Linked DNA regions of Styela clava. The protein of the gene in region 4 binds, or shares a complex with, the protein of the main gene of each other region. Links are inferred from orthologs where the notes say so. Each region holds a gene or a part of one and is shown on either strand. Other genes may lie near its edges. The genes, in order: THO complex subunit 7 homolog, THO complex subunit 1-like, SAP domain-containing ribonucleoprotein-like and THO complex subunit 3-like.

What was found.
Region 1: THO complex subunit 3-like (region 4) and THO complex subunit 7 homolog share a complex: the UniProt entries of both Homo sapiens proteins name them as parts of the transcription/export (TREX) complex. The link is inferred for Styela clava from reciprocal best matches to the Homo sapiens genes THOC3 and THOC7.
Region 2: THO complex subunit 3-like (region 4) and THO complex subunit 1-like share a complex: the UniProt entries of both Homo sapiens proteins name them as parts of the transcription/export (TREX) complex. The link is inferred for Styela clava from reciprocal best matches to the Homo sapiens genes THOC3 and THOC1.
Region 3: THO complex subunit 3-like (region 4) and SAP domain-containing ribonucleoprotein-like share a complex: the UniProt entries of both Homo sapiens proteins name them as parts of the transcription/export (TREX) complex. The link is inferred for Styela clava from reciprocal best matches to the Homo sapiens genes THOC3 and SARNP.

What each region holds. Positions count from the first base shown.
Region 1 is NC_135258.1:15,198,017-15,205,668, reverse strand, and holds the start of THO complex subunit 7 homolog, read left to right. Parts: upstream 1-4,545; 5' UTR 4,546-4,723; coding exon 4,724-4,736; intron 4,737-6,512; coding exon 6,513-6,633; intron 6,634-6,960; coding exon 6,961-7,075; intron 7,076-7,615; coding exon 7,616-7,652. UniProt on the Homo sapiens protein: Component of the THO subcomplex of the TREX complex which is thought to couple mRNA transcription, processing and nuclear export, and which specifically associates with spliced mRNA and not with unspliced pre-mRNA.
Region 2 is NC_135252.1:8,701,431-8,709,011, forward strand, and holds the start of THO complex subunit 1-like, read left to right. Parts: upstream 1-4,526; 5' UTR 4,527-4,745; coding exon 4,746-4,790; intron 4,791-5,625; exon of another isoform or gene 5,626-5,839; coding exon of another isoform or gene 5,840-5,866; intron 5,867-6,151; coding exon 6,152-6,386; intron 6,387-7,326; coding exon 7,327-7,464; intron 7,465-7,581. UniProt on the Homo sapiens protein: Component of the THO subcomplex of the TREX complex which is thought to couple mRNA transcription, processing and nuclear export, and which specifically associates with spliced mRNA and not with unspliced pre-mRNA.
Region 3 is NC_135261.1:12,045,602-12,052,851, forward strand, and holds SAP domain-containing ribonucleoprotein-like, read left to right. Parts: upstream 1-4,666; 5' UTR 4,667-4,726; coding exon 4,727-5,425; 3' UTR 5,426-6,497; downstream 6,498-7,250. Other genes in the region: serine/threonine-protein phosphatase CPPED1-like, read left to right, coding at 6,842-6,887, 7,066-7,155. UniProt on the Homo sapiens protein: Binds both single-stranded and double-stranded DNA with higher affinity for the single-stranded form. Specifically binds to scaffold/matrix attachment region DNA. Also binds single-stranded RNA. Enhances RNA unwinding activity of DDX39A.
Region 4 is NC_135250.1:23,430,316-23,438,103, reverse strand, and holds THO complex subunit 3-like, read left to right. Parts: upstream 1-4,624; 5' UTR 4,625-4,959; coding exon 4,960-5,133; intron 5,134-5,762; coding exon 5,763-5,919; intron 5,920-6,152; coding exon 6,153-6,280; intron 6,281-6,358; coding exon 6,359-6,435; intron 6,436-6,737; coding exon 6,738-6,899; intron 6,900-6,980; coding exon 6,981-7,098; intron 7,099-7,284; coding exon 7,285-7,443; 3' UTR 7,444-7,592; downstream 7,593-7,788. Other genes in the region: large ribosomal subunit protein eL27-like, read left to right, coding at 49-218, 1,497-1,607, 3,011-3,059; mitochondrial inner membrane protease ATP23 homolog, read right to left, coding at 7,622-7,788. UniProt on the Homo sapiens protein: Component of the THO subcomplex of the TREX complex which is thought to couple mRNA transcription, processing and nuclear export, and which specifically associates with spliced mRNA and not with unspliced pre-mRNA.

The DNA.
Region 1 (7,652 bases), on a different chromosome or scaffold from region 4:
TTTTGTACTAACTTAAATCTATCATAATAGTGAGGGTTGGTGCCTTCAAACTTCACTCATTATGTAGTCTCAACATTTTAAATACGATTATGAGAGTGGTGAATTCTAAGTTTTAAAATCTTTGACAAGTAATCACAGAGGTGTAATCTATTGAAACTTTTCAGCCTATCTACCTCAAAGAATAAATGTACCACCAATTCTATGATGGGAAGAAGCAAACATTTCGAAAGTATAGATTTGGATAGTTATTCTCAAGCTATAGCAGTGAGTTGTTCGGGGAAGAGTACATTTTGGCTGTTGAATAGAAATTCACTGAAGTTTATGAAATTATTTAAATGGATCATAAGTTGAATACGCAAAATCTCAACATTGTTATTGAATTTTGGGGTAAAAGCATACGATCTGGGGCACAGCCAGGATTTTTCAACGGGGGTTACAGTTAAATTAAATAAAAAATATTTAATTAGGAATAGTTATTAACCCTCTACTAGACACACTAATTGTTACGTTCAAGACTTTTCTACAAATTTTGCTCAATTTTCGTTGAAGTGAAAATCTCCGTTAGTTTGGCGTTTAAAATCGGCGAATCAGTTGGAATATTTTGAGAATGAAAGGTAGTGCAATGTAAGCCCTAGGGTTAATCTCCAGGGTCTGGAAGAGTTAATAAACTAAAAAGTATACATTGTTCACAGCGAAATTCCACAGTTACGTGTAGCCCGCCTCTCCTTGCCTGGCGGTGTTTGGTGAATATTTTGCAAGTCCTATTTCAAACATGGACCATTAATCCGTAGTCCGCGGATACCCGCATTTAGAAATAAAACCTTAAAAATCGCGAAAAATAAATTTTGGAGAGAACTATAACTCGCAGATGTCAGTAGCGTCATAAGTGTTTATATGTACAAAAACACGTTCGCATGTATCGTCGATCAAATTCATGAAATGTGAAACTAATACTTGGAATTTAATGTTAATGAAGTTGATTTTTTATTGCCATTCATTGATTATTTACATGCGCCATGATGAGTGGCGGGCACAATCGTATTTTTTATATTGAGTTATTCGAATATTTTTAACAAACACCGAATAATGAATATTGTCATTTTAAACAACACTAATTGGGATATAGGCCGCCGAAACGATGCTGTGGCAATAATTTTTTTTTCTTTTTCGGATTTTACTAGATGGCTGAAAACTCCATAACAATGCTGCTTTTTTATTTCATAATTTTGTCATAATCGAAGGCTGCAGTAAATGTTGTCACCACGATCGTTTCGGAGGCTGACATTCCAATTAATATTGTTAAACTATATCAAAGCACTTTATTATTCACTAGCAAACATTAATGATCGTAGTTTGGTTTTTATATTTCGGACAGAATTCTGAGTTCACATCGGCGAAGATGTTAAAGACAACTATTGAGGAGTGCATTTACAACACAAATTAATTTTATTGTGATTTTTATATTCTGTGTAAGATTTGCAACACAATTTGTAAATAACGGTCCCAATTTTAGACCAACAATATTATTATTACTGACCCCGGGATGCGATATTTGTGAGGCGTATTGTTCACATTTCTATGCTTTTAATTTTAGATCGTGTCCGTGTTACTTTCGTATTAAATAATAATCAATAAACGCAAATTGGTAATCTTTAGAATACTCAATGTTCAGTATTCACGTAACTCAGATTTGGGTTTGGGTTAAAACACTGATACTAAACACGTGAATAAATAGGCAATAATGACATTTCTACATGGTCAAAATAATATTTCTCCCCAATACCTCAAGAAATTTCCACAAAATACTATGTTCACTTGTCTTACTTATCTGTTTCGACGTTTCTAAATTTACAAAAACGGTGATGATGCGCTTTTTGCGAAAACGTTTCTACCTGTTAGTGATAGCCGTCGGTTAATTTTTACCCGTAACTCGTTGTAAATTAATGTTAATGTTTTTCGCTATAAGTAATTTTTCCAAATAAGGCCATTTTCGCTTCGATAATACCCTAGATTCTAATAAAAACAAGGCTTAGGTTCGTGTTGTGTGAAAAACTTCAGATAAACCTCTTTAATAATAAATAATCAAATCGTATGCCTCTTGGGCGGAAGGGTGTGCTGCTAGGCTTTGAAATTTGGTTAATCAGCTTTTTTCGCTATACGTAATTTTTCAAAAATGGGCCATTTTCGCTTCGATAATATCCTAGATTCTAATAAAAACAAGGCTTAGGTTCGAGTTGTGTGAAAAACTTCAGATAAACCTCTTTAATAATAAATAATCAAATCGGATGCCTCTTGGGCGGAAGGGTGTGCTGCTAGGCTTTGAAATTTGGCTAAATCAGCTTTTTTCGCTATAAGTAATTTTTCCAAATAAGGCCATTTTCGCTTCGATAATACCCTAAATTCTAATAAAAACAAGGCTTAGGTTCAAGATGTGTGAAAAACTTCAGATAAACCTCGTTAATAATAAATAATCAAATCGGATGCCTCTTGGGCGGAAGGGTGTGCTGCTAGGCATTGAAATTTGGTTAAATCAGCTTTTTTCGCTATACGTAATTTTTCAAAAATGGGCCATTTTCGCTTCGATAATACCCTAGATTCTAATAAAAACAAGGCTTAGGTTCGTGTTGTGTGAAAAACTTCAGATAAACCTCTTTAATAATAAATAATCAAATCGGATGCCTCTTGGGCGGAAGGGTGTGCTGCTAGGCTTTGAAATTTGGTTAAATCGGCTTTTTTCGCTATACGTAATTTTTCAAAAATGGGCCATTTTCGCTTCGATAATACCCTAGATTCTAATAAAAAACAAGGCTTAGGTTCGAACTGTGTGAAAAACTTCAGATAAACATCTTTAATAATAAATAATGAAATCGGATGCCTCTTGGGCGGAAGGGTGTGCTGCTAGGCTTTGAAATTTGATTGAATCAGCTTTTTTCGCTATACGTAATTTTTTCAAAATGGGCCATTTTCGCTTCGATAATACCCTAGATTCTAATAAAAACAAGGCTTAGGTTCGAGTTGTGTGAAAAACTTCAGATAAACCTCTTTAATAATAAACAATCAAATCGGATGCCTCTTGGGCGGAAGGGTGTGCTGCTAGGCTTTGAAATTTGGTTGAATCAGCTTTTTTCGCTATACGTAATTTTTCAAAAATGGGCCATTTTCGCTTCGATAATACCCTAGATTCTAATAAAAACAAGGCTTAGGTTCGAGTTGTGTGAAAAACTTCAGATAAACCTCTTTAATAATAAATAATCAAATCGGATGCCTCTTGGGCGGAAGGATGTGCTGCTAGGCTTTGAAATTTGGCTAAATCAGCTTTTTTGACTATAAGTAATTTTTCCAAATAAGGCCATTTTCGCTTCGATAATACCCTAGATTCTAATAAAAACAAGGCTTAGGTTCGAGTTGTGTGAAAAACTTCAGATAAACCTCTTTAATAATAAATAATCAAATCGGATGCCTCTTGGGCGGAAGGGTGTGCTGCTAGGCTTTGAAATTTGGTTAAATCAGATTTTTTCGCTATACGTAATTTTTCCAAAATGGGCCATTTTCGCTTCGATAATACCCTAGATTCTAATAAAAACAAGGCTTAGGTTCGAGTTGTGTGAAAAACTTCAGATAAACCTCTTTAATAATAAATAATCAAATCGGATGCCTCTTGGGCGGAAGGGTGTGCTGCTAGGCTTTGAAATTTGGCTAAATCAGCTTTTTTCGCTATAAGTAATTTTTCCAAATAAGGCCATTTTCGCTTCGATAATACCCTAAATTCTAATAAAAACAAGGCTTAGGTTCAAGATGTGTGAAAAACTTCAGATAAACATCTTTAATAATAAATAATCAAATCGGATGCCTCTTGGGCGGAAGGGCGTGCTGCTAGGCTTTGAAATTTGGCTAAATCAGCTTTTTTCGCTATACGCAATTTTTCAAAAATAGGCCATTTTCGCTTCGATAATACCCTAGATTCTAATAAAAACATGACTTAGGTTCGAGTTGTGTAAATAACTTCAGATAAACCTCTTTAATAATAAATAATCAAATCGGATGCCTCTTGGGCGGAAGGATGTGCTGCTAGGCTTTGAAATTTGACTAAATCAGCTTTTTTAGCTATAGGTAATTTTCCGAATAAGGACGTTTTTTAGCTATGAGAATACCCTAGGTTTTAAAATTTGGAAGGCTTATGTTCTCCTATGGGGGTACGCTGACTCCCCATTTTTTAAACTCGTCATCCATCTCCTTAGTTTTGTTTACTGTACAACTTGACTTGATTTAGGAATTGCTCATCTGCTATTTCGAAGGAAGTTAAATAAAATTCGTGTCATTTTTATTGTTTTTTCATTGTTTATCATGTAATTTATTGTTATTTTTTGCTTTGTAGATGTTAATTTATCGTAAATGATTAGTATCTTCCCATTGATCGTATTCTAAATTCGTTTTTCTACATTTTTTCGGATGTAGATTATGACACTCCTTCATTTCTGCTGCCAATATTCACCTTTCCGCTTCGCCGCACACAAAAGTCAAATTGCTACTAGCTTCACAGTGGTTGCTGTTTGTCAGTTTGCAGCGTTACTCTCTGACAATACTTTTGCACGCGTGCTGTCGTACGGTACCCTACAGTCGCAGAACCGCTGGTGCAAGGCAGCCAAATATTCTGGATATTTTCAACAAGACGTCATCAAGGTTCAACGGTTATTAAATAACTCATTAACTGGATCAGAGGATAATGGCTACGGATGGTAAGCAGAAATGCCCGAACATTTGCAATCTATACCGGTACCGGTACGAAATTGAGGGTCTAGTATAAGTTTATTTCGACTCCATAATCAGCATAACAATACATTTGACGGATAAAAACAAATAAATAAAAACTGATTATGAAATCAGGGGAGCAAACGAAACCTTAGATAGGTAGGGTTTTATAACGTACAAAATATAAGATGGAAGGTTTTGCCAAGAGGAAGTGGTACGTGTTTACTCACCTAAAATTATTAAGTTATTTCACACACACTCACATGCACCCACCAGCCACACACACACCCAACCACTGAGAAGTTATTTAAGTGAAAATAAAACACGATAAATTTAGGGTATACGGTACTATACAGTAAACAAAAAAATATAAATAAATACTAGAAAAGAAAAAAAATTATTTGCCACACCATATTGATAATTTTGTAATGGTTGCCAATGCCAAATTGATCGATCTTCCAATCGTTAATTAAAATATAAAAGGAAGATTCTATTGAAAACATATTGCCAAGCTGATTAGGTACCGGTATAGTTGGAGTCAAATGCCAAGTTGCCCAACCAAAGTTGCCAGAATTGGGTGCATGAAGAGGTGGGCGAGACCATTCCATTCCCCAAATTAGAGCCTATTATTGCCAAATTATAGTCCAGATTGTGATAAGTAATTAAAGTTACTGGAACAGTAAAATTACTATAATTAACTAAAGTTGGATATGGAAAAAAATTGGTTACAAAGGGTGTAAGTGAGGTTTTTCATTCTTGGGTATTGATTTCAGACAAGGATATAGGAATAAGATTGTTATTTCACAGGATATCGGAGTCTTTGTTTGATTTTTTCCTTATGTGTTTTACTTCATTTAATCACTTTGAAGTAACCTGAAAAACAAAAAATAGTTTAGTTTAGTGCCACAAGTACTTGCAGTGGGGGTAGCATAACGAATTTTGTATATGTTATTCCTAACCCCCACCTGACTATGCCATCCAAAAATTACGTCACCATCACGTCATATGGCTTGCCAAAGTATAATTACGATCGCCCGAAATGGCATCTCACTCCCATCGTGATTGTTGTGACGCGAAAACGAGAGAAATAGCTTGCTCGATTTCGGATGATCGTCTGCACGTTTTGGACGACCAGCCGCATACTTTGGTGGGCCTTATTACGCCACTGTGATGTCGAAATGACGTATTTTTTCGGTGACGTAGTTGGGTGGGGGTTAGGATTGACATATGCAAAAATTGTTGAGTCAGGCCAACTAGAAGTACATGTGGTACCGGTACTAAACTATACCAGACCCACATACAGACTTACATTACTGCATTATTCTTCACTCAATTTTTGGCTTTTAGATGGGAGATTTCAAAGGGGTACCGTACCTATCCTATGCTACATAACTGACTATATAAAGTATAATGAAAATTTTTACCCCTTAATTTTGAATTCTTTGTCGAATACTGAAATATGTCTCAACGACTTTAATTAACTCTTTTAAGACCCATTGATACCGGTATGTTTTATTGGTAGGTGGGATGTCATATTAAGACTGTAAGAGGAAGACATAGTTGTGACTTGATATGATCAACCGAGTTCACTATTCTCATACTATGTCAGAGCAGATAATTGAATGAGAGACTATCAACTGGTTGATATGATGACGGCAACTTACTGTCGTATCTACTTTCAGAACTTATTCCGAATAAATGTAAAAATTCATCCTGTACCACTTTCTCTGCTTCAGATTTCAAGCAATAATATTTTTTTTTAGATGAAGTAATTCGAAAGCGTCTCCTGATAGATGGAGATGGAGGCGGGGATGAAAGAAGATTCACTACTTTGATGAAACTCTTTATGAAATGGTGCAATACTGAATCTTCAGAAACTGATCAGTAAGAGATATGTACTAACTACTAAGACAGTAAGAGTTGAATATAGAATGGATTTCTGAAAAAGAAAAGATATTTGAGAGTAGTGTCTTATAAAAATGTGGTTTTATAATGGATTTCTTATAGTATACATAAAATTACTCAAAACTAGAAATCAAAAAGCTTTACACCGAAAGTAAAAAAAGTATTATGACATTCGATTTCAAAACACATATCAATTAATAAAGAAAACAGTGAGATGCAAATAACAAGATGCTGTTATCACAGTTCCTGGTAAAATTGGCCTAAATATAATAAACTGCAAAATTTATACTACTGGTTTTTATTCAGTCAGACACTACAAAGAATGCTATCAATTCTATCTCAAAGTGAATTTGCAATGACGAGGGCAACTTATGTTCATGAAATGAATAAAAAGCAGATGAGAAAGTATGAAAAAATACAGGTATTCGACTATGATTTTAGGGAGAGGGAAGACAATACAAAGGCTTGATTGATCAATCTTATGATATTGGTATTTAAACTTGTGAATTTCCCCTGTTGTGACAAAACAAGCACAATGGGTAGCATCTTCTTATTAATAAAACAGAAATGATTATATTCACTATGTAATATTGTTAACAACGAATTTATTGCACAATTTAAGCAACTATGTGAGTGTCTGATGGACTTATTATTTGTTATAAGTGTCTTTATCGATAATCATGGTCAACTAGTTATGTTGACAATAAAAAATGATATTTTCCCCCTAGAACTTACACTTTGTCCCTTAGGCAAAAGCAGTTGTCTTGATAGAAGCCTAGCTATGCAACTGCAGTAGTTTCTTGCAACTGTTTTATAAGTACCTTCTCCAGTTTTCGTATGGAGATCGGGATTTTGTATTGAGCATAGAAAAATTATAAAACTATATGTAAATATATATCTGAGATTTAATTGGCTTATTGATCCATAATATGTTGTATTCAATGTTTTGTACAAATATAAGAACGACATTGACAACAATGTTGAACTGGCACATCATG
Region 2 (7,581 bases), on a different chromosome or scaffold from region 4:
GTTTCATTTTAGCCACACCTCGTAGAAACAAATTTAATTCAAAGAGGCAGCCGATTCGTCTGATAAAAAATTTTACGAGCGGTGATCCTTGTTGGAATTAAGCAATAATTTTATATTTGTTCACGAGTGATATTTGACTCAACTTTGACATTACCTCCTCCGATTTAAACAGTTTAAGAAATAAATTCCATAACATGAATTTATCTATAGTTTCGAAAATATATGATATTAGAGTTAGACGACAGCTCTAAACAAATAGTTATGCCAAAACCGAGTCGGATATTACTGATGACACGCTGACACCAAAGTTATATTTAATGTTGCTCAATAGTTAACATTTTCCGTAAATACGAAGAACATGTAAATCAGGGACGAGGACGTAGAAAACAAATTTTCAAAGGGGGGTTCTCAAATTTTTAATTGCCAAATTACACCGTAACAGCTATCGGGTACGGGCAGGGGCGCAGCCAGGATTTTCAAAAGGGGGATTTTAAAATCGGAATTGTGAATTTCCATGCAACGGCTTCTGAAATGGTCGCCGCGATTGCGCGATCGTTAAAATAGTCATATAATATATAATGACTTTTTCTGTCGCGTAATATTCAATCCATGAAAACTACGAAAATTTAAAATGTTTTTCTATTTTAATTTTATTGTGTTCAACCGTAAGTAACTAGCGGTTTAGACGACTTACGACAACATTACTAATCTAAAATCCCACTGCACACAATGATGTGAGGTCAACTTATAGCAACTACCCCCCCCCCCCCAAATGTACCCATTTCATGTTTAAATCATCAAAACAAAGTTAATTTTTCCCAAAATTCGAACAAAGACTTTCGTAGGAATCAAATTACACCATTTTTAAGAACATAACATGTTCCACCCAGTCATTATCAAATTAAAATTTATATTCTCAAGACCTTTGGCACTGATTGAAATAATTATATCTAAGTTCCCATCCGTACGATGTACATATTTACTCTTATTGAGATAATAGGAGTTTCTGTTTATAACGTGAATCACGAGCTCACGTTTACAGCATTTAATTAGATTTATGATCGACGTATAAATACGACTCGATATCTTTCAATGAAAAGCTAGTGTGGATAAATGTTTTAAGATTTGTATTCTGTGTGTCGTGGAAATCTGAGAATAAAATCAAACAGAGTTTTCTAAAGTCTTCATTAACGTGGGCATTGAAGCTGAAGGGTGAACGGGCGATTGGCAGTTCTGAGACGGTCTACGATATAGCAATATACGGTGACATCACATCCATTTACCAATTATTATAAATTATATATGTTATAAACTGACCGAATATGTTTAGTTTTGATATAGATTTTTGCGCTCTTGCGAATTCGTTATCGTCGTTAGAAAAATCCCAAGATCTGCTATAAAATCCCAGAAAGTAAAATTTAATCAGGAACAATAAAATACATATCGAGTATATTTATCAAAAATACATCTTCTCCGCCTTGAAGTCCCCAAGAAACGGCTTCTGAACAGGTCGTCGCGATTACGCCACTCGTTAAAAGAGCCGGCTTTTTCAACGAATATGTAAAGACTTTTCTGTTGCATAAAATATTCAATCCATGGCCGATATGGCCATATTTAAAATGGGCTGCTTCATTAATTGGGTCGTGATCAATTTAATCTGCAATTTCGATAATATTAAATAAAGCATCACTAGAGATAGAAACTGCATCTAATCGAAGTTGTCGAGCCTTAACCTTTGTGTCGCAATGGACTTCATGATACGGGAAGCCGTAACCGACCAGCAGTTACGTGACCACCCTACGGCGGCGACGAGTCCAGTAAACCCTATCGCACATATTTATCTGCCACGGGATTCGAACTTGCGAACCCACAAAGGGTACCCTGATCAGAGGAGCGGTGCCAAGCGTATTCCTAACGCTTTCAGGTCAGGTATGGGATTAGTTAGCCAGGTATTTGTTTTCGGAAGCATGGACTTGATATTAGTATTAGTTGGTACTTTCAAATTGATTGAATATTTCGAATCAAAATGATGCGTTGAAAAATGTAAACTAGTTCGTAGGTGCCAACTTGCAAAACCAGTCTTATAAGTACAAGAGAGCTATGCTCAAATATATGGACACGTCACAGCAGATACCCCAGTCTACGCCTATTTTGACACCAAGCGAAGCAGTACTGCAGTAGTTTACCTTACCTTATCTTTATCATTGCTGGTACCGGTAACCTCAAAAAACTTCCGAGTTTCGAGTAGCGAGAATTTTCGGAATCGGTCGTCACGCTTGGCGGATTAAAATCCGTGTTCCCACGATTGAAAAGTGATACAGCGAATATTTGAATGAAATATTGGATCCCATAGGGTTCATAGAAAATTTAGGACTAAAAAAAAGTAATAACCTTATGGCAAAAAAATCAATCTTAAAAAAATGAAAATTTCAAAGCAATTGGTCCAGTATTCGAAGAGAAAAGCGATTTTATCATGACGAAGGAGAAAATACCAAAAACAACAACATAATATTGAAACGATCGTTATGTACACTGACGTGTCCAATAAGAGATTATTCCAATTATAAAATTCTCAGGGTATGTATGAAAAGAATTTATCTGAGAGAGAGGAAGCGAATTCAATATTTTTGTCAACCACAATACAAATAAATATTAAAATGATAAATTACACAGCATTTATTCAGGTATCGACTGGGAGGTCATCAAAGGCAGCTACCACCCATCCCAGCCGTATGATTTTTGAGAACGAAATAAAAAATAACCGTCGACTACCGTGTTTCCCCGAAAATAAGACCTACCCTGAAAATGAGACCTAGCCGGAATTTTAAGAATGATTTTAATATAAGCCCTCCACTTAAAATAAGACCTAGTACAGTGGTTCTCAACCTTTTATGGCTCGTGGCCCCCTTCCGTTGGCTTTTCGCACTCGTGGCCCCCCTGTTCCCCATTTTAAAAAACTAGACGCGTTGGATGGTATTATGTATTTACGACCTTTTATGAAATGCAAAAACAAACCACAGTCAAGAAAGTCAAAGCTTTTCAGTAAACAATCAATGGGAATCTTGTGCTTGGGACTGTCTGACTAGGTTCCTTATATTAGGCACCGTCTGTGATATAGCCAGACGAATGTCACTGTCAACATCAAGACGGTTTCTAAATTTTGTTTTCATGGTAGCAAGATCAGTGCAAATATGTTTGAAATACTTTTTACATGCAATAGTGGTACTTGGCATAGTCAATGTTGCTTTCTTGTCGAATTTAATTCACTTGGCAGCCAAGCACCGATATCATTTATATAAACAGCTTTTATCTTGGGATAATTTTTGTCACGGTGGTTTTGGAGTTTAGATGGACGTAATGATTTATTGCTCATTACATACGAGAAATGCAGGACTTGCGCACATTTTGTGTCATTTACTTTGGTAAAGCCAAAGCCAACGTAACTGTCGTTCCATTTTCGTATTTTGGGCATTAGAAATATAGGATTCTGAGTCTAAAATACGATACCGACAGTTATCTCTCACCATGGACCTTTCCCCGAGCATCGACTTCCTTGTTTACTTCGTGACATTGGCCAATCGGCAAAATGCAAAAAGTGACGTAACAATGCTCCCTTTTCGCATCCGCTCAGACACTTTTCTCACTCAGACAGGAATTAAAAATTCCTGTAGAAATAGCTGTGATAGACTGGGCTAAAATTCTTTACCGGTACTTTTAAAAAACAGATTGTTGTATGCGATGAATCATAAACCTTTGTTGAACCTATGTTTGAAACCTATACCGATTTTACAGGCGCCAACTCGCGAAACCACTCTTAAAATAAGCCCCGAAAATTTTGCAATGATGAAGTACAGGAAGAATTTTTCGTGGGTCAAAGGTCGGGGAAAGGTCCATAGTGAAACCAGTCTGCAGGTTAGACTGCTTACCAACGAACTATTTTGATTGATAGATTCCTAATTCCATTATGATCAAACAATTCACGCACAAGAAAGTGAATACACCCTGTGACCTGAAATTACCTATTCAGATAATGAAACTGAGGCAACGGGAATTTACTTTTAAAGGGAAAGTATGCAAACGAAGTCGCTTTTTAATCAATTATTAAACTCGTGTCGTGGCCCCCCTTGAGCTGCTCCGTGGCCCCTTTGGGGGGCCACCGGCCCCCGGTTGAGAACCACTGAGTCCTTGTAGATAACGCAAATTTTTTTTGACCTATATATCAAGAAATCTCTCCAGCACGTTTTAAATGATCAGTCTAAAACGTATGGGAGAGGAAAACGTGTTATTTAAGTAAATTGATATCGATTTGTATATTTTTTATATTTAAAAATCTCGTGATTCTCTACTTTGTAATTCTGTTTTTGATGAATGAAAATAAAAGACATCCCCTGAAAAGAAAAAAAAAAGAAAATTGAATAAGACACTGTCTTATTTTCGGGGAAACACGGTGGTTAACTACCAAATATATTTAAACGAAGAATAACATCAATGCAAATAATATTGTGAAGAGGTACAAAAATAAGTGGATATTGAAAAAATTGTTCAACGAAAGTTGAAAAAAAAAAACTTTCTTTTTGGGGTCAAAAGTCAGAAAAATATCCGGGGTCAAAATTCGAGAAATTTTCTTCGTGTTTCGCTGCTAGCTCCACAGTGGTGTTGGGCTGTTTTATAATTTTGTAGAGATCTTCTCACCTATATAATTCCGACTCATTTTGGCCTACAGACTTAGGAAGCTTTTTTTTGCAATGGCCTCTGATTTTGTATTCCAGGATGCATTGTCCTCTTTCAAGGTAAGTCAGTCTTATTGTCAGCTTGTTGACTATGATCATGCGGTCATTTATAAACAAATTGCAGAATTTTATTAGTCATTTCACACACGCTCACATGCACCCACCAGCCACACACACAACCACTGAGAAGTTATTTAAGTATGAATAAAACGAGATAAATTTAGGGTATTCGGTATACTATACAGTAAACAAAAATAAATAAATAAATACTAGAAAAGAAAAAAATTTTCTGCCACACCATATTGATATTTTTGTAATGGTTGCCATTGCCAAATTGATCGATCTTCTAATCGTTAATTAAGATATAAAAGGAAGATTCTATTGAAAACATATTGCCAAGCTGATTATAGTTGGAGTCAAATGCCAAGTTGCCCAACCAAAGTTGCCAGAATTGGGTGCATGAAGAGGTGGGCGAGACCATTTCATTCCCCAAATTAGAGCCTATTACAGTATTATTGCCAAATTATAGTCCAGATTGTAATAAGTAATTAAAGTTACCGGTAACAGTAAAATTACAATAATTAAGTAAAGTAGGATGTGGAAATAAATTGGTTACAAAGGGTGTAAGTGAGGTTTTTCATTCTTGGGTATTGATTTCAGACAAGGATATAGGAATAAGGTTGTTATTTCACAGGATATCGGAGTCTTTTTTTGATTTTTCCCTATGTGTTTTACTTCATTTAATCACTTTGAAGTAACCTGAAAAACAAAAAATAAAACCGTGAGTAGATGTTTCAATGATTGGGTGAAGGGGAACGCTCTGAACTATTTATTACAGGCAAAAAATAATTGTTTAATTAAATGGGATGTCATCAAACATTCCAGGGTTTTTAGCAAAAAATAGCACTTTTGGTCGTGTGCCCGCCGACGCGTGTCAGGTTTAAGTAGCCTACCTGTAAGATTATGATTGAGGCAAGCATGGCGCGATCTGACGCGTCTTCCATCATGATAGATGCTCTCGTTTCAGAGTGTTCAAATTGAGTGTTTGTTTTATTGAACCAAATGTCAGGACATCTTGGAATTGGAGAATCTTTCCTTATTGTAAAATTATGCAGTACCATTGCTCTCAACAACAGGTATGGCCTATCAACTCACCACATAAAACTAACCTGATCGAATTTTGAAAAATTTGTTATGGTGTTACTTATTATTTGCGAAGTTCTTTTTTTGAGACGTCTTATACCTTATTAATTCTGTAATTTTGAAACTACTCATTTTTAAGTAAACTCATTGGAAATTGCAGCATAAAGATGTTTTGAATGTTTCAGTTTTGTTAATATTTTTCTATTCAACTTCTCAATATTATGCTGATATGAAACTGTTACTGAACGGCTGTGAACGCTTTATATTTGTTTATGCAGAATGAAATTTTCGAAGATTTATCAAGTGGAAAGATTGATTCTATTGTTTCAATAAAAAGTGTTTTTCAAACTATCTCTGGCACTGAAGCAGATAAACGATTGGCAGCAGATCAAGCATTTCGTATTACAGTATCCAATCTCATTCAGGAGACAATAAAAGAAATTCATGGGGATAAAGAAATGGCAAATGATGCATTGAAAGTTATTTCACTCACTGTTGTTGCTGCTAAACAAGGTTCTATTCTGTATAACACAAATTTTTTATATGATGTTTCAATACATCTTTTGCTTTGTACAATACTCTGCTCAAGGAACCCCTGCTTGGTAAGGTGATACTACAGAAAGGCACAGTTTTCCGATTCCATAAATATCGCCCACATTTAGAGACATCGGGTATAACAGTGAGTGCCCCGCCTTCACGAGGCAGTCTGGGCCTCCATATCGACTCAAAACAGTAAACTGGCGTTCCGCAATAAACTGAAAGGAAGCGTATCTAAAAACATCATAATTGGATTCCTCTGAAAAAAATAATCTAATTTACAAACGGAAAAAAATTTACTGTACCATTCAAGAGTTTTTAGCAAAAAAACACAATTTTGGTCATGTGACAAACGTGTCTAATTGGTTAAAATTATTACCAAGACAAGCTTGGCGCGATTTAACGCATCTGCTGTCATGCCAGTCGCCCACGTTTCAGCGACGAATAGAGTGTTTAATGTCAGGACATCTTGGAATCGTAAAACTGTGCTCTACTGTACTATAGTTTGGAAGGATCGGAATCTTTCCTGTTTGCTATTTCTTACCCAATTCATTACTTTGGGCGAGTTGGTCTGCATAGGATTTGATTTGAGATTTAACCTGCTATGCCATCATAGTTAAGTCTAACACTTTAACCATTAGGCCACCTCATTCATTACAATTTTTTACTACAACACTATTTGAATTCAAGTTAGTCTGGCGTGTGGCACTGACTTTCGGTGGTTTGAATTAGATAACCCTGTCTATCCAAGTTTCATTCAATATTCAATAATGTCAGTTAAGTTATTTTCATTTCTCTTTTTTTGAGGAATTAGCAATCCAAATTACAATCCGAAATCAGCTTTTCTACAACTTATCAAGAGGACTGCATTTAAGTTTTTTTAAACAAACCTATTATAAAATTGATTCTGTTTTAGGTATGTGTTCGGCAAGTCTACCATTCAGCCTTCTAGGAGATTTGTTAGATTGCCTTACTCTTGACACATGTGACCCAGTGTTTTGCTTTATTGAAGAGAGAGTAGCAACATGGAAATCTTCACAGTTTTATACTGCAGGTCAATATTGAATAATAGCTGATTGTTTTCTTATTGATTCGTGTATATTTCAAGTGATTTGCTATTACTAAAATAAAACAACAGCAACTTTTTTCAGCACCAATAAATTCTAATTTA
Region 3 (7,250 bases), on a different chromosome or scaffold from region 4:
CAGACTAATCAGAGGTGCGATGGCGAGCGTATTCCTGACGAGTAGCACCATGAGCCGCCTTGCCGAAAGGAAAAAGTGAAACGATAAAAATGACTACAAAAGTACAAGGCCGCAGCCAAAAACAAGAGACAAACGAAAAAAAATAGGGTCGCAGCCAAAACAAGTGAGAGAGGAAGTCAAAAAAAAAATTTGAGCCAAAAACAAGGGAGAAAAAAAGAAAACAATAGGGTCGGAGCCGAAATAAGAGGGGGCGGAAGACTAAGTCAAAACAGAAATTGACGAGCATGGAGGGAAAATTGCACCAGCGAGCCAACGTTGATATTTTTTAGTTGGTCAACAGCGGGAAAAGTGCGGCCTCGTAGCACGAGAGAAAGATATTTCATTTTCACAACACAATGTTAAATAGAATGGAATAATGCTGATTTTTATAGTAATACAGTACATTGAACAACTTAAACATTTAATTGTGTAGGACTTTTGTGGGTCATAGAGGCTCTTGACCATTTTGTTTACACTGTGATCATAGGGTAACTTTTTTTTATGTATCCTGGCAAATCCAGGTGTCGCATAAGGGGGTGACTGAAATATCTGGCTGATCTTTGATTCGTGGAAAACTATTCGAAAACGCGCAACTCTCAGTGTGTCTTCCAATGCCACAAATATCAATAATGTTGTACAAAATAATTTGATATATTGCAATAAAATCTAGACAAACAGTTCGCGATATTTGGATGAGGTTTTCACAAGGTGTAGTGTGAAGTTAATGAAGTGTAGTATAGCGATGCGAAGATAGCGAAGCGATTTTCTGATTTTAAATAAAAATATTCGAATACAGATCATGTAAAACAATAATGTATTGGAGCTCTTGCAAGCTTAAATTGTTAATCAAAGTAATTATTATTCAGACAATAATAATGTTGATCACAAATTAATATCGAACCAACACATCCAGACATCACTACTGAGGCAAATATCAACAGAACCAGTGATGTAGAATACCAAATTACAATCTTACCAAAACGTTTTGTGCCAGGCAATAACAAATTAAACTTTAAAACAGCGTTTCCCAACCTCTTTTTGGTCGCGGACTTATTCCTCATTAGCGAAAACCTTTGCGGACTCAAGGTGCATTTCTTGCAACCGTACTCTGTGTGAAGAAGCAATAAAACCAAATACAACGGAATTTTAACGAATTTCATAATCGGAAATTTGCCGCAATTGAGCGTTCGTTAAAATGGCCGAATTTTTTAAAGAAGTAATGCCTTAGCCATTAAAGAACACGTCGTCACCATTTTAGCCAATAAAAACACGTTTTGACGTTGTAGATGAGTTTAAGGTTGTGGACAGACACGGAGAGCAAACGATGAAGACAACATTAGAACATCGAGAGACGAGACGACACTTATCAAGACGACTCCTAATACCAGACCTTTCAACACATTCCTTTCTTCAATACCTTACTCCCAAATATCCAATTGAAACCTTTCTATGAATTTTAACTAAAATAACGAATTTATCCCTAAAATGCTTTCATCTTTTCGTAAGTGGACGCAACCGCGAGTTACCATGAACACGATTGAATTAAAATAGAAAGACATTTTAAATTCTCGTAGTTGTCATGGATTGGATATTGTGCGACAGAAAAGGCCATTATACATTAAAATTCCACGGCAATCTGCGAATATACTAATGTGAGAATATGTTACCCGATTATATTTAGTTTTGATACATAATTTTTGCGATCTTGTGAATTCGACAAATCTGAAACAAAACTTACGGCGCTCCAGTACTGTAGCCTACATACCAATGTGGAGGCAGTAAAGCAAAGTATCCTAAGGGAAAATGCCCTTGTACGTATACTATGGTGGCACCGGAAATTTTGCGATTTGCAATGTAAAAAAGTGTTTTCAATCGGTTGCGGACTACCATAAAACAAAACTTATGGTGTTCTCCGTGTTATCTATAGTAGTTTGTATTGCCGCTTTTCAATTTAGAAAATTTGGGTTGCCACCATTGACACCTACCAGAAAAAAAATTATTTCTGGTTGTTCGCACTCGCGAGAAACACTACTTACGTATCTATCGACGCGCGTGCCGACTGGTGTTTTCGTAGAAAATTAGCAATTGTTTGGTTAGGCGACGCGCAGGTGACCTGTCACGCCACCTGTTGCCGAATTTTCGAATAGAAAATTGCTATTCTAATAGTTGAATATTCGAATATATATATGCCAAGCCCTACTCAGTAACCAGAAATTATTGACTGGATTAAGTGATATGAATAAACTTATTTTTTTATGTTTTATGTAAATTCTAACATAAATCATAACTTGGCTGATAGTTAGGTCTCGCAAAAACGTTTGCGGCCCGCAGTGAATTTCTGGCCCGTTGTGGACTCATTCAAACGCTCCGCGGACTCATTTGAGACCGCGGACTCGGGTTGGGAAACACTGCTTTAAAATATACAGAAACAACGTCAATTTCGGTTCAGGAATCAATCAGATTATAGTCTATTTCTAGCTTACTTAAAATTCCACAATAAAAGTTACAGCAGTTATATGTACCAATAACATAAGCCTGTAGAACGGGCAATTAATTATCCCTACAACTGGACGTAAACCTAACTAATATAACACATAAAACTGCTAGACTTGCGAACAATAACCAACAACTACCGCCAAAACAGGGCAGTGAGACTACAGCGTTGTCAGATCCCAGTGATCGGAAAAAGACAAATCAAGACGAAAAAAGCTAACAATTCTACTAAGTACAAAAGCCCTATGATTTGTCTGATTTGATGCCCTTAGCACAATAATGGGTTTGCAATAGGCTGACGTAGAGCCATCAGGTCATTTGGTGAGCCACATAAATGTCTTTTCCCATTGAAAGTTGTATTTTCGGTTGCTATCATGGCGATTTCCACTTCGGCGGGATGTGGGGTTTAAGAATAAAAAAGATTATTTAAATGGCAGCACCAGAATCTACATTCGACACAATACAATTAAGCTGACATCTGTATGAAAATTGGATTGGATTGTGACAATATAAAATTGTAAAAAGCAAGAAATAGTGTCAGCGACGTCATACAAAAAGTCAATCTTTACTTGAATTATGGGAATTTATTTATTACAGGTGTGATACGTGTGCAAATCGAGCAAGTGTCTTAGGTACCCGTAATGAATTTAATTTAAATGCAATTAAAGAGGCTCATGACTGTAGTAAATGTCATAGCAACTGAAAATGGGACGTCATATTACGCGTATCAAATTGCTAGCGCTATTTAAAACATGAAACATATTTTACCTAAATCTTGGGCTTCGGGGGCGTCTTTATTCTAGCTTGACTGCAACTGTCTGATACCAGTAGTATATATTAATCTCCAACCTTCATTGTCACCAAGAAGGGCAATCAAATCCCGAGGCAAATGAAAATCAAACTCAGAACTCAAACCGTCTTATGCCACCTCGTGGTCTGAAAAGTCTGTGGGTCGTTTAGCATCGACTGATTGAGCACTTACCTCAGTGTGTCGCTGGTTTGGTGAATACATCATTCCCGTGATATTTTTGTTTTTACAATCTTATGCAATATGCTGAGATGTAGATTGCCTAAGTTAATACAGTGTGAGTGGGGAATAATATATAGAAAATCCATTCCCAGATAGTCTTATTGAAGTTTATTATTTTTGAATTTGCAATGTCAATCTGATTAATTCAAGCTACCGTATTTTCTGAAATTATAAAATGTTTATTGATGTACAAGGGAATTTGATTTCGACCCTAGATCTAAATTGCAGACTAGTTCAACAACTAGGCTAAGTCTGTAAGCTGAGCTAGCCTTCTCAGACAGTCAGACCTTGTTATTTTCCAATGAACTGCCCACAGCTCTGGACAGGTTGACAGCAGTACTTCTGTACTTAGGATCATTATAAGATAATATTTACATATTCATTTCACTATATTTACGTCAATAAATTCATGCCAAATTTGGAATAAATTACAGTGATATGATTGATTTCATGGCACATGCATATAATTTTTTCATCAATCGAATTATTTATCTGTTTTAATTGCATTAAATGCTGTGACCAATCACTATGCCACTAAGTACTGAAATATATAACTTCGAATGGTGATTATTTGTGTCACGCAACATAGATGGAAAAGTTTGTGCATGAAGATGAAAAAATTTCCAGATGTTCAAGCCACAGATCCATGTCGCAAGGATAATGATAACTAATTTACTAACTAACTATAATAATTACAATAGAGTATATAACTAACTAATTTATTAATTACAATAGAATAAAGTATGAACGTGGTAAAGTGGAATAACGGCTGATATTTTCGTTTTACTTTTAACAGTTTATTGTACCGGACTCTTGATGTTAAATAACACGATAAAACTCATAGTTGACATTATACTATTTTGTTTTTTTTTCTGGAAAAATCTCACAACGCGGGCCGCAAAAAATGCTTTGCGGGTCGCGTGTTGGAGACCCCTGCTCTAAAATCTGAAAATATCGATTCGACATCTTTCATTTAATAAATTGTTTTCCATAAATTCATTAAATGGAACTCACTTGCAATTGATTGTTTGCAGCAATGCTGGTTATGTTATTTATATTTACCCAGTACAGCAGTATTATCTGAATAATGACCTTTGGATAATGACCATTGCTTTCATTTGCAGTATCATTTCAACTACCGTAAGCAATAAAACTATAATAAAAATGGCATCAGAAGATGAAGTTGTGATTGATCTCAGTAAAATGAGAATTCCTGAGTTAAAGAAGGAATTACAGTTGAGAGGGTTGAAGACTGGAGGCAATAAACACGACCTAATTGAACGACTTCAACAATACTTGGAGGAACATGAAGGTGCAGAGGTTGCGGATGATGAGATATTAAAAGAGGATGAAGAAGAATCATTAATAGATGATCAAAAACTAGAGGATTCTGTTTTATCAGCTCCTCTTGAACAAACTAAAGAAAAAGTGCCGAATGACACTGAGAGCGTTGAAACTGAAAATGACAAAAAGATAGAGGAAGAAGAGGATTCATTAACTGAAAATATTAAAGACTTGCATTCTCCAACTGGCTTATCTGATGCTGATAAACTGAAAATTCGTGCACAAAAATTTGGTGTCACCGTATCTGACATGAACGCTGACGCAAGAAAAGCTGCACGATCCGAAAGATTCGGAACAGGTAAAGGGATAGGTACTACACCTGGTGCGGACCCTGATAAACTCAAAAAACGGGCCGAAAGGTTTGGGGGTGCCGTCTCCAGTACCTTAAGTACTAATGAAGAAGATGAAAAACGGAGGAAACGACAAGCTAGGTTTGGTATTGAAACATCTGGTACAATAACAGGTGAAGATGTTGATAAAAAGAAAAAGAGGGCTGAAAGGTTCGGGCTGACTGTTTGAAGCAGAGTTACCTTATTACCTCATTCCATGCATGTGCATTGTTGATAGGCCCCTTTGATCGTATGTGTGATACACACCTAGGTATCCTAATTTCATCTGCATACAAGTTCAAATTGGTTTAAGACAATCTGTGTTTTATTAATGTTGTATTGTTCTCACTAGTGAGAACCATATTAGTTGAATTTAAATTGAATTTGAGTTCTCTGATGTCCACTACCGCTGCTTAGTCTACTCAATCATAGCAACTTTTGAACTGTTCTGTTGGGTGATGGTTTTTGTAACTTTGGCCTTGGCCTTGGAAAAAGTATTGGTATGCATCATGGTCCTCTGTTGCATTGTAGTTGTACAATTTACAATAGGCATATTTAATGGTACCAATTTTACTGTTTTATTAAATGACACACAAACAGGGTGATTATACTAGTAGTCGCTAGCAGTTATTTTGACATTACAACCTCGATGTTACATTCTATACTTAGTATTGAAAATTATATAACAGAATTCGATTTATAACATGGTATTGTTGCACTATATCACATTTCTTATATCTATAAATTCTTTAAATACTGATTATGACTCGAGCATAATAAATTTGTATATGGTAAATGGAAAATGAAGCTATTTCCCTAACGTATCCAAAAACTGGTGTCCATTCTTGATCACCTACTTGGGGCATCAAGATGACAATTCTCTAGATGGAAATATTCTGAAATAAAGAATACTTTGTTGTAAATTATAACTAATTTTACATCAGCTTGAATTTTCATTTTTCTTCAAACATATCTGCATTCAAATCTCGATCCGCATTTTTTCTGGGCGTTGTACAGTCCTATTCCTAAAATTTAGATTATTATACAGTTTATTATATCATTTGCAATCCATGGAAATAATTCTGTATACTTGGCTGCTTGATTGTTACGTCACTAGTCTTGAAAATATTGGTCAAATTATTTTGGAATTTCATTTTCAATCCAATGTGTTTTTATCTTGATATATTGAATATCGCCACCGAACTTTACATCAAACTTTGAAATTCATGATTAATTTCTTTGTTGTTACCATTTTGTCTAGATTTAATAATAATATAGCGGCTACTCAATAATAACTATGATGGGAGAAATAAACTGAAAATTGGAGAACCTATATTATAGCGAGAGTGGTATCAAGTCACAGGAGATGACTAGACTAAATATGAGCACATTACTAAAAAATAAATGTGGTGTAGGGGCTGGGGCCATAAATGTGGTATTCTGAAATTCACTCAATGTTTTGCTTATGAGTAATTTATTCTGTCTGAATCTTTAACTTATTGAAAAAATTAGTTATCCAATAAGACTTAACACCAAATATTGTAATAAATTGTACTGGCAAAACTGTACTAAACTAAATTAGTAAACTGATTGTATCAAATGAAGAATGCTGATAAAGGCTGTAAATCGTCAGATACCTGGGTACACGAAAGGTGAGATTTTACAATCATTTTTTTCAATAATATGTAAGCTATTTTAAGTGATTGAATATTGTTTTATTGCTATTTGACCATTGAAGCTTTTTTGGTATTCATACAAAACATTTAAGGTTTAAACTTTGCTAATCTATAGTATATTGGCAGTTTGCTATTGTTATGTGCAATTTTCCAGGTAGCGAAGATTCATGGTGTGGATCATATACGTTCATACATGGATCAGATCCACAGTTTGGATTTATAGATCTCATTAAAGGTGGAGGAGGTAATGTTTTCAATAATTCTTTTTTTTTTCTTAATTTTCTTTTTGGATAAGGTTGTATGGGTCAATACATTAGCTGATGTAATTTGCCAGTTGTT
Region 4 (7,788 bases):
TCATGTTTAATGTGTTTTCCTGCTTTAAATTAATGTTTTCATGTTTAGAATCAAGACGATGGCACAAGTGACCGTACATATGGACATGCTCTCGTAGCTGGAATCGACAGATACCCTCGCAAAGTAACAAAACCTATGTCAAAGAAAAAAGTAAAAAAGCGATCTAAAGTGAAGAGCTTTGTGAAAGTCATCAATTACAATCACTTGATGCCAACAAGGTATGGTGTGGTCTTGCTTTCATAAGAATTCAAACAAATTCATTCAATGTATAAACGTTTTTTATTGCAATGATAAGTATCAACATTCTTATTGACTGCACTATAATATTATTTCAACACTATTTGTTTTCTTTGCTTCTGTTTATCAAGTGGCTCAAATATTTCAAAAAATAATTTTTGTGATATTTCGTGACCCAAGGATATAACCAAATGGCATGCAGTGATTTCATGTCAACAAATAGTATAATAAACACTGGGTTACATTGTGATGTGTTTGGTCGAGTTACTGTTCCACTTTCTCAGTTTATCTTACTAAACTCAAATCAGATTATACTAGAATTATTGTACAAATAGTGGAAAATTAGTGTTGGAAAAATAACAGAATTATACCATATCATAGAATGTTAGTAATCTTTTTTACATTGAAAAAGATCGTTTAATTTAAATAGATACTATAGGTGGCCATTTAATAATAATAATATGGACATTTTGAAGATACTATACTAGGCGCGTTGAATTATTCTAAAAATCTGCGCACCATTCTTGTACATATAGATATATATTTACTGTAGTTACTCGCCCTGTCTCGAAACGATATTTGTAATTTCATAGCAGTAAAATTTTATTATGAAGTTATCTTCATGGTTTTCTTATGTTCAAGTTTGACAGAATAGAGATGGAAATAATCCTAAAACGAGTGTTCTACATTCTAATGTCTGTTTATCCTGAGTCTTATTTGCAGCAAACGTAGCTCCAGGTGTCTCAAAATAGAAAACATAAAACTACCGGTACCGGTATTTGAGCATGATATGTGTATGTTCAAATTTAGTAACTATATTGATGGATCAATGGTTTGGCAGTGGCACATCCATGCATCTGGAACTATCAACTGGTTAATGCAGTTGTTCCCAATTTTTTTTGTTCAATTCCTTCTTTGCCCCATTGAGAATTATTTATTCTTCCCTCACTATGCATGTAAACTATTTTTTTTATTCAATGTTAGTGTTATAGGCACGAGTCACACCTTCGTTTTGTATAGTTTAAGTAGTTGATTGTGTGTTCATGAATATGTGTTGTAGTTATAGTAAAAAATATTTGTAATATTACCTCAATACAGAGCAAAATTCTACCTTGAAACGGCAAAATTTCTCTCTTGAGTGCAATTCAGCCCCGGTTGGGTTAAATATCCCCATTTCCAACCTGGACTCGTAGGTGTTCAACCAATTTCCATGGTGTAGGAAACACTTCTATATCGAATATTTTCTATGTCTACCATAGATATTCCGTTGACGTTCCCATTGACAAACAAGTTGTTAATAAAGAGGCAATCAGAGATCCTGCTGGTCGACGAAAAGCGAGGCGAGAAGTTAAATCAAAATTAGAAGAGAGGTTAGTTTTTTTCTTTTCTCTTTTTCACGTTATTTTTCTAGATAAAGGTCTGGTGGCCTGCTTTTTTAATAAGGATACCAACAGAATTATTTGATTATTTTTAACAAACTTTTTAATGCAAATACCGTGGTTCTTAAAGTGGGCGACGCACAAGCACATTTTGTTGGTGCGTCGCAAAACTCTTCTTTGTTTTGTGGAATTGTACCTGTTTTGTGATTGAACATTTTTTTATTTGAACAAGAAATTATAAAAAGAAGATTCGCAAGTAGTCTTTGGATTTCTTCGGATAAAAATTATCATTTCTTGGTTAAAAATTGTTGCGCCATCTCATCCCCTTTGCGACTTCGTATTTATGTGAAGCAGGCTTCTTTACCATGGTTGTAATCTAGACGAAATATAGATCTCGAGCAAATGTTGAAAGGTAAATGCCTGCGGCTCTCACAATTCAACCACAAGCAGTACACCCGTCCCATTAAATGCCATTTCACTGACTTTTGTTATGTTTTGTATGATCGTTTTTTCGAAAAAGGTCTTTAGTAAAAGGTATCAAGATGTTTTATTAGGGAATCGCAACTTGAGCATATTTTTCCAAGAGTGTCCGATACAAAGAAGTTTGAGAACCACCGCTTTAATAGATTTAGCAATTATTACGTGAATGTGGCTTCTGAAGAAGCAGTATATACAGGCTTCAGTACTCCATATTTTTTTGTTTGAATATGGCTCATAAAAAATGAATGATCTGTTGGTTTTAAAGAGTATTTTAAAACATTTTCAATACTATGTACATGTAGTATAAAACTAAATTTTGAATCCGAATTTAACTTTTTTTGAAGCATACAACAGTTCTTTTTTTTTTAAAACTTGAATCTTCATTTGTAAATATTATTACGGATAATTTATACTTTACATATGTCATTAGGCATTAAATTGAGTCCGCAATAATAAATTTTAAAGCAAATTTTCAAGAATTTTACTTGTACTTGCGCTACTTATTCTAGATTTGTGAGCCATATAGTAGTTCATGGCAATAATCAAATTATATTCCCAACATTTATTTACTATAATGATTTTTACCTCACCTTGCTGAGTTCATTGAAGGTCAACATTCGATAAAATTAAACTTTCATAGCGATTAAAATGAAAATTATCAATTCTTTTTATGCCTGATGAAAGTACATTCAAGTCGAAGTCGAAACCTTTGTAAATTTTTGCGATACCTGGATGTCCCAGACACAAGCTATCCTTTCTGCTATGTTTTTGATGTTCATCCCCAAATGGATGGAGATGGAGTTAGGCTATATATTCTGCTTATATCCTATTTAATTGTGATTAAACTTGTATATATTCAATTGTTCCATACATGTTTGGTGATAATATACTGAATTATCATGTATATCTTTCAGATACAAGACCGGCAAGAACAAATGGTTTTTCCAGAAGCTTCGATTTTAAAATACTTACGAAGTTCGAAATATATGTCATAAAACCATTATTGTGTGTTTATTTCGTTGCAACTATCAGAGTTTACGCATTGATCAATGTAAGGCCAGACTGCAGAATAATACGACTTTCAACTTAAAGACGCCTGGGTGGCAAACAAAATGTTGGCCTTTTTCAGGATAAAAAACAAGCTACAAATAGAAATTTAAGTGCCAAATCCACTCTCTACTGACGTAACCTTTGCAAGATAGGTAGTTCATGTTTATCCAGGGCAATGTTATAGTCTCTGAGCTTTTGTGAATTTCATTTGTTGGTTTATTCTGGTCCCACTGACGGGAAGAATGGCAATGCAGAAAGAACAAAATGGCGGTACTAGCATAGTGTGTGTGTCAGGTTCGACAACCAATGTTCCCAGATCTAAATCAACAAATTGGGAGGGAAAGTCTCAAAATCAATGTTATTGATGGTAATTATCGTATGCGAATCAGCCAACTAGCGTCGATTATTAGAGATTAATATTAGAAAATTACCATGTATAAAATGACTCCGGACCTTTGACCCCCGAAAAATTCTACCCATATTTTACCATTGCAAAATGTTCGGGGTTATTTTAAGAGTGTTCTTGCGAGTTGGCGCCAGTAAACTGGGGGTATGTGTTCCAAACCATCATTATGATTCATCGCATACAATACAACAATCTCTTTTTTAAAAGTACCGATAAAAAATTTTAGCCTAGGCTATCAAAGCTATGTCTACACTAATTTTTTTATTACAGCAATTAAATTAAAACTCCTAGGAAGACAGAGTAGTCATTGAATTATCTGATTTATATTTAAGTTTCCGAAAACTAACGAATAGAGTTCAAAAACAAGTTAATGTTTACGATCAGGCTTGAAAATCTGTCCTGAGTGAGAAAAGTATCTGAGCGGATTCGAAAAGGGAGCATTGTTACGTCACTTTGGGCATCTTGCTGATTGACCAATATCTCGAAGTAAACAAGGAAGTTTATTCTCGGGGAAAGGTCCATATATTGCTGCGAGCGTTTCCACTACTCTTCGAAAATTTCTCGTTGAATTTCATTTATTATTTTGCAGCTTTCAATCCATTCATGGTTGTTTATCGGTGCTTGTACACCATCCCCTTATATATCACCACGCAATATGGTGAGAAGGTGTAAGATCAGGCGAACGTGCTGACCATCTTATATCACAATGCAAAAAAATGGAATGCCTTCGAAAGATTCCTGCCTGAACATTCATTGATGTTTGCCATATAGAGTAATCATAACATTGCATTTTCTATAATATTCTTAAGTCTTGGCAAGGAAACGTTTTGCAGCTTCTGCGCATAACAAGCTGGAGTAAGTAAATCGTATTTGTCTCCCCCAAAAGGTAAGGACGCCAAATTCACAACTACGTTCCGTTCTCTCTCGCTATGAAGCTTTCTAGGTTTACAATATGACACTTGCCCAGTAACGAAAAATTTGTTTATTGACAAAACCAGATATATAAAAGTAAGCTTTTTACTAATGGAACATTTTGAGTGAAAACATTCCACAATAAATGCACGGTGTTTACTTGTACATTAGTATTTATTGACGGTCCAATTCATAACTATTCATGCATCAAAGCTTTTAACAAATCATTCATTATTATAATCTTCAAAAAACAAAAACTGTTTATTAACTACATAAATTTACTTAAACTAGGTGAATACCTACAGCAGCAATGAAATAGTAATAATTTAAAGTGAAAGAGTGTTTTTGCCTCGTATTTTTAATGTAAATCTGATAAATATAAAATGATTTATTCAGTAAATCTTCTGTGTTGGTATAATAATACCGGGTTAAATTGAAATTAAAATTGATCAGTTGCGACTTGCTAAAAATTAAAGCTCGCGCGCCACGTTAAAAATGGATTTCACGAAGAAAATGCAGCAATATTTTAAATTACACGATCGACAAAAAGAATATGGTGCTCATACATCGAAAGTCCATTCTGTTGCTTGGAACTGTGACGGAAGAAGACTTGCTTCTGGATCTTTCGATCAAACTGCCAGTGTTTTTACTCTGGATAAAGACAGGCTGGTTTGTAAAAGTTTTACGTGCATATTGTATCAGACAATGCTGTATAATGGTATCTTGGTATTGTGAAAATGGGGGGGGGGATTTCCCAGAAACCAGGTTTCTCGTGGGAAAATGCGATATAAAATAAATAGAAAACTTTCATTATAACATAGTCTGTTGCTATTTCTTCAGTATTTTCAATATTCTAGATGTGAACCTGTTTGAGAAATTGATACAATAACATGTTAAATACCTTTCTTGCAACCATTCTGCCATTAGTTAAGACGTGAACCACCCTACGACGACGAGGAGTCCAGCAATACTCTCACACATAACTATCCCTGCTTGGGATAGGAACCTGTAAACCCATGCAGATTAATGTATGTATGTTTATTCGTCTCGTAAAAGCAATATAAAAGAGTTAGTAATTATAAATACACAAGACCATACTGGCCTAAAACACAAATGTAAGGCGTACACCCCTTTTGATATAAATAATTTATGAATAAATCAAATGTGATGATTGTCTTTTTAATGCACAATGAATGAAAAGACCAAGCTGGATTAGATATGACTATCTCGGAATGAATTGTCCATTTAACAGCAACGATAGATATCTGTAGACTAATATGCATTTTTTTGTGATTTAGTCCAGAGATCAATCATACAAAGGGCACACAGACAGTGTAGATCAGCTTTGTTGGCATCCAAGCCATCCAGATTTATTTGCAACCGCTTCTGGTGATAAAACAGTAAGAATATGGGACGCAAGAAGTGGGAAATGCTCAATAACGATGCAAACAAAAGGTATTGTTTAATTAGCGATTTCAACTTGCTCTCGGGAATCTCACCAAGCCATTTCCCAGAAAGTAGGGATCTGATTTGCTTTAGGAAGCTGTAACCGACCATGGAAACCATCCTACGCAGGGTGATCAGATTTGCGATGGCAAGTGTATTCCTGATCCTTAACACATCGTGCCAACCACTGATTTGAGATATATCTATAATTTAGCTTGACAACATCGATATTGGTATTCCAGGTGAAAACATAAACATATGCTGGAGTCCCAATGGGCAAACAATCGCAGTTGGAAATAAAGAAGATTTGGTGACATTTTTTGATACAAAAACATGGAAAGTAAAGGCATATGAGCAGTTTAAAGTTGAAGTAAGTTTCATGTATTTGTAACTAAGCCAACGTAGTAATGGATATTTTTGTGAAATATTTTTTATTTTATTTGTCCAGGTGAATGAAATTTCTTGGAATAATTCCAATGATCTATTTTTTCTGACGACAGGATTAGGTACTGTTAATATACTAAGGTAAGCAGCATTTATTTCTTTCAAATACATTCCTAAGCACTATTACTAAAATAAGTACTCTTTTAAGTAGGTTTGGGTGAGGGCTCGAGGCCTTTTTTTCAAGCTATATATAAATGAGTGTTAGAGTATCAGTAAAAAGAGTAGATAAGTATTATCGGTATCTGGGGCGAGTGGACGGTGTGGTCATTCAGGCAAGGTCTGGTGCTTTCTCTTCTCTCTCAGAATGGCTTGCTGAAAACAGTGGGCCAGTGCACTAAATATACTTCAGGCATTATTTAACAATTTGTGAAATTAATTTACAGTTATCCTGACCTAAAGCTGATTCAATCGCTTAGTGGACATACAGCCAACTGTATATGCATTGAGTTTGACCCTACAGGTCGCTATTTTGCAACAGGCAGTGCTGATGCATTAGTAAATTTATGGGATGTAACAGAACTTGTTTGTGTGCAGACATTTTCAAGGTAGGTTTTACAAAAAAACTTCAAGCATATACTGCATTTTCAGAGCCACTAAACATTTTCTTAAATATATTTTTGTGCTAGGCTTGACTGGCCTGTTCGAACATTGAGTTTCAGTCATGATGGCAAACTTATAGCTTCGGCATCTGAAGATCATTTCATTGATATTTCTAGCGTAGCAACCGGTGAAAATGTTTGTGAGGTAGGTACTCTGTCTATCATTTACTTGATTCAGACACAGAGTATATGGAGGCGGAAATACTAAACCAAAATCGAAGTCGCTAGGGGCTATTTTTGCCCTATTTGACTGAATATTTTTCTGTTTCTTGGTTTAATTCTTGGGAACACTTGTGGATGACACTGCTCTCTTTTTTTGTTTGCCATGCAGGTCAAATGTGAATCACCAACATTCACCGTAGCGTGGCATCCTAAGCAACTCTTACTCGCATTCGCATGTGATGACAAAGACAAGTATAAACATGATAGAGATGCCGGAACAATTAAATTATTTGGTCTCTCAAGCGAGTCCAACAGTGACAAAAAGTAAGGGTTTGAGAGCTCACCTTCTTTTCGGAAATTAGCAAGCAAGACGATGGGGTAGCGGGAGCGAAGCGTACACTCAACACATATGGATTGACCACCGTGGTCAAAGTATCACGCAACAGTGAATTCATTTGAAATTGGATATTAGAAAAATAATACAAATATAGAAAACATCAGGTCATTCATATAGAATATCGATTTCTATGTATATAAGCTTTATAAGACAGTTCTGCTTGTTTCTCATCATACGGTAGTCTATCATGGGGACTGTGATCGTAAAAACATGTCAGAAAAACCTTCTTAACCAATGGCTGAACAGCGTTCAGGTCGTAATCTGGATGCCTTGACA